Danio rerio: one gene and its partner. The protein of the gene in region 1 purifies or fractionates together with the protein of each later gene. This does not show direct contact. Links are inferred from orthologs where the notes say so. Each region holds a gene or a part of one and is shown on either strand. Other genes may lie near its edges.

Region 1 (4,429 bases):
CTAAGCTCTTAGCATAAAGTTAAATCATAACAGTTACCATGGTGTCTATTTCAAACTACAGTAAACTAAAGTTTGAAACTATAGTTTAAAATAGACGATGAGTGGGCCTCGCTACTCCCACCCACCATAACCCTCGCAGCGAGGTCCCACTACCGGCCCCCCGTGTTTCCCTGAGGGTCCTCGGGGGTTGTTTGTTCCCTGCCTAGGGCTCAAAGGTCGCCTCGCCCCAGGGAGTGCACGAGAAAACCGGGCGCCAGGCCGTGCCAGTATTCACTGGATGTTGCTCGGCGGCACATTTCGAGCAACAAACACGTAATATTCCTTGCGATGTTGCGTTTATGTACCGAGTGAAGCTTCAGGAAGCGGACTTCGTGAGATTGGCGTGGCTCCACTCGCAAAGTCGGTATTGAACTCACCTTGGTCAAGTTCAAACAGCAACACTGAGCGAACTGACAAGGCTGACAGAGAGCACACGAGCTTTATAGGAATGCATATGCAAATTTTTACAAGGCACGTAAAAACTGCTGTTGCGTTGTCATGGCGAACGCTGAAGAGGGCTCATCTGATTGGAGCACACAGACTCGTGAATCTGCGTCACGGCGAATTGCCGTCTGCAGTACACAAAAATATATTAAATATATTCAATATATATTTTTTTACATTTCTGGTGCTGTGTAATATTCTGGGATGCAGTAGAATATGGAGACAGATGAATATAATTGGCTATATGCCGAGCAAGTGTTGTTCCCATATACTTATAAACTTCCGGTGACCGGTTAGTGTGAGTTTTTTCCATTTTATACGGTTCCTTTTACAGCATTCATGTTGTAATGTAATTAAAATACATTCAGTTAAATAAACTTTGGCATTCATTTAGTTGTTCAAGCGTAAAACGAGACAAAAGGCCTTTTACTCGCACTCGCCCGTCAGAATCGGCAGGATAGCGCAGACGCTCCATTGAATATACTGGGTTAAATATATGCTCATATTATAAAGACATGGCGGGGAAAATGTCATTTAATGCAGTGCTTCTAGTACAATCCGAGACCCACTTCATATCGGAAATCACTCAGCCAGTGGAGATCGCTGATTTTTAAAGAAAACTGACCTTAAAAACGTGCAGCTTTTTCCTTTGGCATACAGTTCGCCGGAAGCGCTTAACCCAGGTTACTGGCAAATTAAAAGTCCCATTAGCATGCTTCCAGAATGTCTTTCGAAAAAGAGTACGGGTTTAACCCCGGCATCCTGGCCAAATTTATCCACTGGCCTCTGTCCATCATGGCCCTTGGGTTGACTTTTCCGATTTCATTAAAAAATTCTTATTTCCAAACTTCTGTATTTCCCCAAAAAATGTATTATTTGGTCACTCTCTGAGTGTAGATCTTTCTCATTTTAAATCAATTATTGATTTTTTGCTTTTTTTAAAAACAAAATTTCACATCCATAAATGTAAATTTTCAAAGAAACACCCGTACTTTTTTATTTTCAGAAAGGACTTTGAAATGTATGTTCTCCAGGCCTGCAGATGTCGCTTCAGGTGGTTTGAACGACGCACGAGCGCTGCTTTGAAGTACAGAGGAAGACGTGCTGTAAATGGCTGCCTCCATGTCGTGAATGTGAGACCGACAACGATTAACGTTTTATTCGTCTCCCCAGTTTACTAAGGACATAAACGTGCCATATATCGCAAAGGTAAGACTATTTTATAGTTACTTATTGTTTATAATTCGAAGGATGAGTAATTACTCGGTTTGAAACCGATCGCTTTGAAATCGCTTCCCTCTCAGTTTATTAATGTCATCGTAAATTGATGAATGAAGGATCAAACAGCTCCATTTAAATTAACAGCATATTTACTGGAGAACACGGTTATATTAGTCACGTGATGTTATGAGTGGTCTGGGATGTATGATATATTTGGTATTTAATTGTCTGTGTTCTCTCACGAAGCAAATGATTGACATGTTTGAACTTTCAATAGATTATATAACTTATTTTTTTGCAAATTTAAGAAACGTGTGCCTTAATCATGCTGATGCACAAATTACGACATTTTATCTTATTTATTGTGAATTCCCAAACAATACCCATTGAACTATAACTGAATGCGATAATAATATAACTGAGCTATTTCAAATCTGTCAAAATTCACCCCAAATTAAACAAGACGCTTAGAATAAATAAACCCTATTTGTAGCATTATTTTCGTTTTTATAGCTGTAATTAATCCAGAAGAAAAGTTTTTGACATAATATATATGTGTGTATTGTGTATACATGCATGCATATCTTTGAGTAATCATATATAGTTCATCAAAAAATGAAAATTCTGTCTTCATTTACTCGCCCTTCACGTGTTACAAACCTGTTTGGATTTCTTAATTCCGTTCGACAGAAAAAGAGATATTTTGAAAAATGTTGTAAGCCGGTAACCATTGACCTCCATAGTATTTGTTTTCCCTGTTATGAAGGTCAATGGTTACCAGTTTTCAGCTTTCTTCTGAACCATCTTTTTTGTTTAACAGAATTACGAAAGAAACTCATAAAAGTGAGAGTAGAGTCCCAAATTTCAACATCGTTTGGCAAAATTCACCCAGTGCACTTTTAAGAAGTAACCAACTAGCTGTTGTTTTTAGCCTTTTGCAGTTCAGACTGATTTGCGGTTTGGCATCAGCCGTCACTTCCTTCCAAATGAAGGACGGCAAGGAGAACTCCAACGCCACCTTCGGAAGCTTCACCACAAATCTGGACCACACCAAGCCATGCTGGTACTGGGACAAGAAGGATCTGGCCCACACCCCGTCCCAGTCAGACCTGGACCCAGCCACAGAAGCGCGGTACAGACGAGAGGGAGCCAGGTTCATCTTCGATGTCGGAACACGTTTGGGATTGTATCCTTCAATGCTGCTATTTGTAGACTGATCTAAAGATGTTGTGTGTTTATTTATTGATTTAGACTGAATAAGGCTGAAGTTTAAATGGTGTGATGATTTCCATTTGGACCTTAACCATTTTTTAAGACATTATGACACCCTGGCGACAGGAATAACATACTTTCATCGGTTTTATATGTTTCATTCTTTCAAACAGTTCCCCCGATATGTAAGTACAAGCTGTTGTTGAAAGATATTTTTTTTTACTGTTTACATTTTTAAGGAATTGCTCACCCTCCTCTTGTTTCAGAGTTTTTTTCCTCTGTAAAACACAAAAGGAGATATTTAGAATAACATTGAAAACTGGTAACATTGACTGCCGTAGTATTTCTTTTGGTACCTACAATAGAAGTCTACCTTAAACTTCATTCATTCATTCATTTTCTTGTCGGCTTAGTCCCTTTATGATGCTGCGTTCACAACAGACGAGGTACGCGCGTCAAGCGTGACTGATTTACATGTTAAGTCAATGCAAACGCGCAAATAGACATCCTGCGGCGTGATACACGCGAATGGCGCGGAGCGAATGACACAAATAGCGCGAATGGCGCGGTGCGAATGGCGCGATACGCCCGAGGCGATTTGAGCGTTTTGCACATTTGACGCGCTTAACGAGCGTTTCGCGAGAATCTTTCGAGTTCGAAAATCTGAACTTCAGCGGACATTCGCGCAGCGTTAACCAATCAGGAGCTTGCTCTTGTGGGGGCGTGATTGTGACGTAGAACCTGTTGATGGTGTCCCAGGGGACATCCTCCAGGCGACAGCGACAGCGACAACAAGACATCAAACTGGGCTTGGCTCAGTCAGAAGCACCGCTGAAAGCCTCCGTGATCCAGGTTCAGTTTCTGGAGGAGTTTATGAGCTCACAGAGCAGGATGCACCTCTGAAAGGATGCAGTGGACTCAGACACGACCCTAAACGTATTGACGCTGTTTTTCAGTCTCCATAAAGCACATTAACACTGTTATTTTCTTAATAAAATCCATGTTAGCCATTTAGCTATGAAGCTAGAGTCACCGGGCAGACAGAAGCCCTGCCCATCACGCGAATCCGCGTCTGTTCTGAAGAGCATTAATCTGGGGTCGCCACAGCGGAACCACCAACTTATCCAGCAAGTTTTTATGCAGCGGATGCCCTTCCAGCCGCAACCCATCTCTGGGAAACATCCACACACACATTCACACACACTCATACACTACGGGCAGTTTAGCCTACCCAATTCACCTGTACTGCATGTCTTTGGACTGTGGGGGAAACCAGAGCACCCGGAGTAAACCCACACGAAGGCAGGGAGAACATGCAAACTCCACACAGAAACGCCAACTGAGCTGAGATTCGAACCAGCTACCCAGCGACCTTCTTGCTGTGAGGCGACAGCACTACCTACTGCGCCACTGCCTCGCCACCTTAAACTTCAGCCGTTTGCATTTCTCGCAATCACAGAAGCTCCCTGTGATATTAACTAGGTGCAGCTGGAAAAGTGCAAGCGTGTTGCTT
Region 2 (3,825 bases), on another chromosome or scaffold:
GAGAAGTATCCCGCTGCGCTATCCCATAGTGCCCCGTGAGAGAATTCATGAATGGAAGTGAGGCGACGCAACTGATGCAGGTATGTCATGTGACCATGACAAAATGGCGGATGTAGTACGTCCGAATTCCATTCATACTTTTCACATTCATACTGTATAGAACGTACTTTTCTAACGGCGAGTAGTACGTTTAAATTCAAATGCAGTACCTACTGAGTAGTAGGCGGTTCCGGACACAGCCTGAGAATTTAACTGAAAGCAAACAGGAAGTGCATTTTTAGATTTAAATAAAATATTACTAAAGCAAACATTTCATTTTTATTGTATTTTTATTTTCTTAATGACCTGCACAGATGAATTGTTCTTCACAAAACTAGCAATGTGAGCTAACAAAATCAATATGGTTAGTTTTGATTTAATGTGTACTTTTTAAAGTTGTTATACACAAGCACCGTTATCCTGCAGTTATATAGTAAATAGGTCATGTCATTGTGTACATGTTCAATGAAGTGTATTAAGTATTATCTAATATTATTTGTGTATTGTTTATTATTTGATAGCTGATTTGAAAGCATTTCTCTTCTCCTCCGCAGGACATCTCTGCGTGCCCGGAGCCGTTCTCCTCACTACTCCTCGTCCCGCCGTTCCACGTCCCATTCTCGCTCAAAGAAACATTCGTTATATTCCGGCGGGGCCAGCGGAGCCTCCTCTCACAGTAGTCGACCTGGCAGCCGGTCGCCTTCATCTTCACGTTTGCCCATCACCTCCAGCCTCGGAGCCGAACTCACAAGAAGAAAGCAGGAACGTCAGGCAGCTGCTGCCAAGAACTCTCCTGCTCTCCAACCAAACACGTCCAATGTGACAAACACACCAGTGAAAAACACTGATCCACCGCCACTGGAGACAGCAGCAGCAGCAGCGGCGCCCCCTGAGCCTCAAAGACCGCCCTCTCCACCTGCAATCACTGTGGCTGTGGAGGAGCCTGCTGCGCTTCCTCCTCCACCTCTCCCATTATCCAGTCCTCCTCCGCTGCCTCTAACGTCTCCTCCGCCTCTTCCAGCCAGCTCTCCTCCTCCTCCTCCTCTGTCTTCTCCTCCTCCTCTTCCTCTGAACAGTCCTCCGCCGGCTCCTCCACCTTTAGCGCCTGCACCGGCTCTTTCTTCACGGCCGAAAAGCCCCGCACAGAAGCCCGCGAAAAGTCCTGCGCACCAGATGAAGACCTCCACGCTTCCTCCTCTTCCCCTGCCGCCGGCTCTTCTGGGAGACTGCAGGGACAGGTGAGTGCTGAAAACACACACTTCATAGGGAAACTACTGTCTGTATGCAAGTTTTCCACAAATGAGAAATAGTACCACACGGATTAACTTGCTTTATTCTGAAATAAGCACTGACATCACCTCATTTTGTCTTATTAAGGCAGTTATTATCCTAAATGATTATTTAGATGCTTTTTTTTTTTGGTGATTTGTGTCATATTTGATCTTGTTTTCATTTCTGCACATGGACTGTTTTAACAGGCTGTATTTATTAGGTACAGGGCAATATGAGTAGCCTCCAGTTTGTTGGTGTAGTAATTCACACTTAAGCCCCGGTCAGATCACATGATTTTTATTGTCTTTTACGAAAGTCTCTATGTCAGATTATGCAAATTATTATTTTTTTCTTGATAAAATCTTGACTTGTCATTAGAGCCGCACAATTAATCGTTAAAAGATGGCGATCTCGATTCGACCCCCTAGACCACAGGTGTCAAACTCGGTTCCAAAAGGGCCGCAGCTCTGCACAGTTTAGTTCCAACCCTAATTAAACACACCTGATCAAACTAATTGAGTCCTTCAGGCTTGTTTGAAACCTACAGGTAAGTGTGTTGGAGCAGGGTTGGAACTAAACTGTGCAGGGCTTCGGCCCTCCAGGAATTGAGTTTGACACCCTTGCCCTAGACCAGGGGTCTCAAACTCAATTTACCTGGGGGCCGCAGGAGGCAAAGTCTGGGTGAGGCTGGGCCGCATAAGGGATTTCTCAAAAAAAGTCCTCAAATGTCATTATTAACAGTTTTAATTATTTCTTCTGAACATGAAGTGTCCTGAACATTAATAAAACATTGAGTGAAGATTATGAACAGTTCTTCTGAACATGGCATCTTTTGCCTACTTCTTGCTGCCAGAGACTTGACAGCGCTTCTTCTCACAAATCTGAACCACATTTGTCTTTAGAGCGGAAGCAGTTGAGACCCTCAGTATGGCTTGAAGATGATCATTTAGTCTAGACCTGTACTTTGACTTATTGAAGTCCTAGGGAAAAAAGTGGGGGAACTAACTCAAAACTTCCATTCCCTCACCTAAAAAAAAGGCGTATATATGTATAAATAAAACACCCCCACCCCACTCCAGTCACATCAGTCTGTACCAGTCTGTATCTACCTATAATATCAATATATATAAGATGCAGGGCAGGCACGTGCACACATAGGGCTCAACCTGTGCAGAGCACATCCCCTTTTTAGTCTTGCATAGAAAGTGCCCTTCCAAAATGATCAAAAGTGCCCCCGCGACGCGACACACCCTCGGTCCCGCCCTTCAGTAGGCGCGCGATAACACCGTTCTTGAGTATGCGCGCGACAACACAGCTGATCAGAACGCGCGCGACAACGCGCATTGAGTGACAAGCGCGCTGTGTACGGATAGAATCAGCGGAGCGGGGAGCACTCTCTCTCCCCGCTCCGCTGATTCTGTCAGAGTACAGCGGTCGGCGCGGGCCACAAAATATTGCACTGAGGGCCGCAAATGGCCCGCGGGCCGCGAGTTTAAGACCCCTGCCCTAGACGATCTTAATCCAGCATTTCTACGATTCTGCCAATCATATTTTCGAGTTCAGGAGAGAAGAAAAGGCGGCTGCACGAGTCTTTTCATTGTTTCACATACGTTGCTCAGTGACATTGACACCTCCAAATGATGTTGAATGAGTCACTTAATGTATTTATAAGGTATAATTCATCAAAAAATGTCATTTTTGTCTTAATATAAGGATGTTTTCGCGATCGGGAAATCACACATGACATAAGCTGCTGACCGTGAGCTGTTATCACAGAGAGGGTGCGTGCGCTCTACTTAATGATAAACGCGTGCGCTTCTACTTTAGTGAACATAACCTGCATATGTTGCGAGTAACAGGTAATTCAGTTGTAAATAATATTCAGTTTGTGTCACAGAGTGATTGTTTGGGAGCCGCACAAGAAGTATAAACAAGCACTTAGCAGTCAGAATGAAACCGAAAGTGTTTAAATGATCGTATCCCATTTTAGAGTTATGATTACGACAAGCATTTGATATGTTTTTTCTTTCATAGTGAACCCACAGTTGTGCATGAAAATAAATGTTTACAATGTTAGTATAAGTACTCCAGCCTGTATATTGTTGAATATAATCTGATAATGGCAAATGTCTGATCTTACCAGTGAATAAATTTGTCTAATATAACAGATTGCAAGCATACATCTCAAACATAATAATTCAACATCAGAATTATTATAAGTAGAATAGAATTATTTATAGAAACCAGAAGACCTACACATAATATTAATGTCGAGGTTGTGCCATATGTTTGTTTTTACCATACCTGTATTTTACATCTACAGAATCATGAGAAAATCGTGATCTTTATTTCAAGCAAAAAAAAACGCGATTCTCATTTTAGCCAGAATCGTGCAGCTCTACTTGTCATGGGTAACAAATGTGCCAGACTACACGTTCCTTCACGAACGGTTATCCCATGACATCTATGATGAGCATTATTTCCTAAAGCAGTCACAAGTGTTGCTAAAATGCT

The links.
Region 2: the proteins of ccnk (region 1) and cdk12 purify together in Homo sapiens (affinity purification with mass spectrometry; 6 studies listed by BioGRID and IntAct, with this or other methods). This does not show direct contact. The link is inferred for Danio rerio from reciprocal best matches to the Homo sapiens genes CCNK and CDK12.

What each region holds. Positions count from the first base shown.
Region 1 is NC_133195.1:5,223,530-5,227,958, forward strand, and holds the start of ccnk (cyclin-K), read left to right. Parts: upstream 1-1,587; 5' UTR 1,588-1,692; intron 1,693-2,389; exon of another isoform or gene 2,390-2,518; intron 2,519-2,635; 5' UTR 2,636-2,690; coding exon 2,691-2,890; intron 2,891-3,019; coding exon 3,020-3,101; intron 3,102-4,429. UniProt on the Homo sapiens protein: Regulatory subunit of cyclin-dependent kinases that mediates activation of target kinases.
Region 2 is NC_133194.1:5,796,131-5,799,955, forward strand, and holds part of cdk12 (uncharacterized protein cdk12), read left to right. Parts: intron 1-593; coding exon 594-1,277; intron 1,278-3,825. UniProt on the Homo sapiens protein: Cyclin-dependent kinase that phosphorylates the C-terminal domain (CTD) of the large subunit of RNA polymerase II (POLR2A), thereby acting as a key regulator of transcription elongation.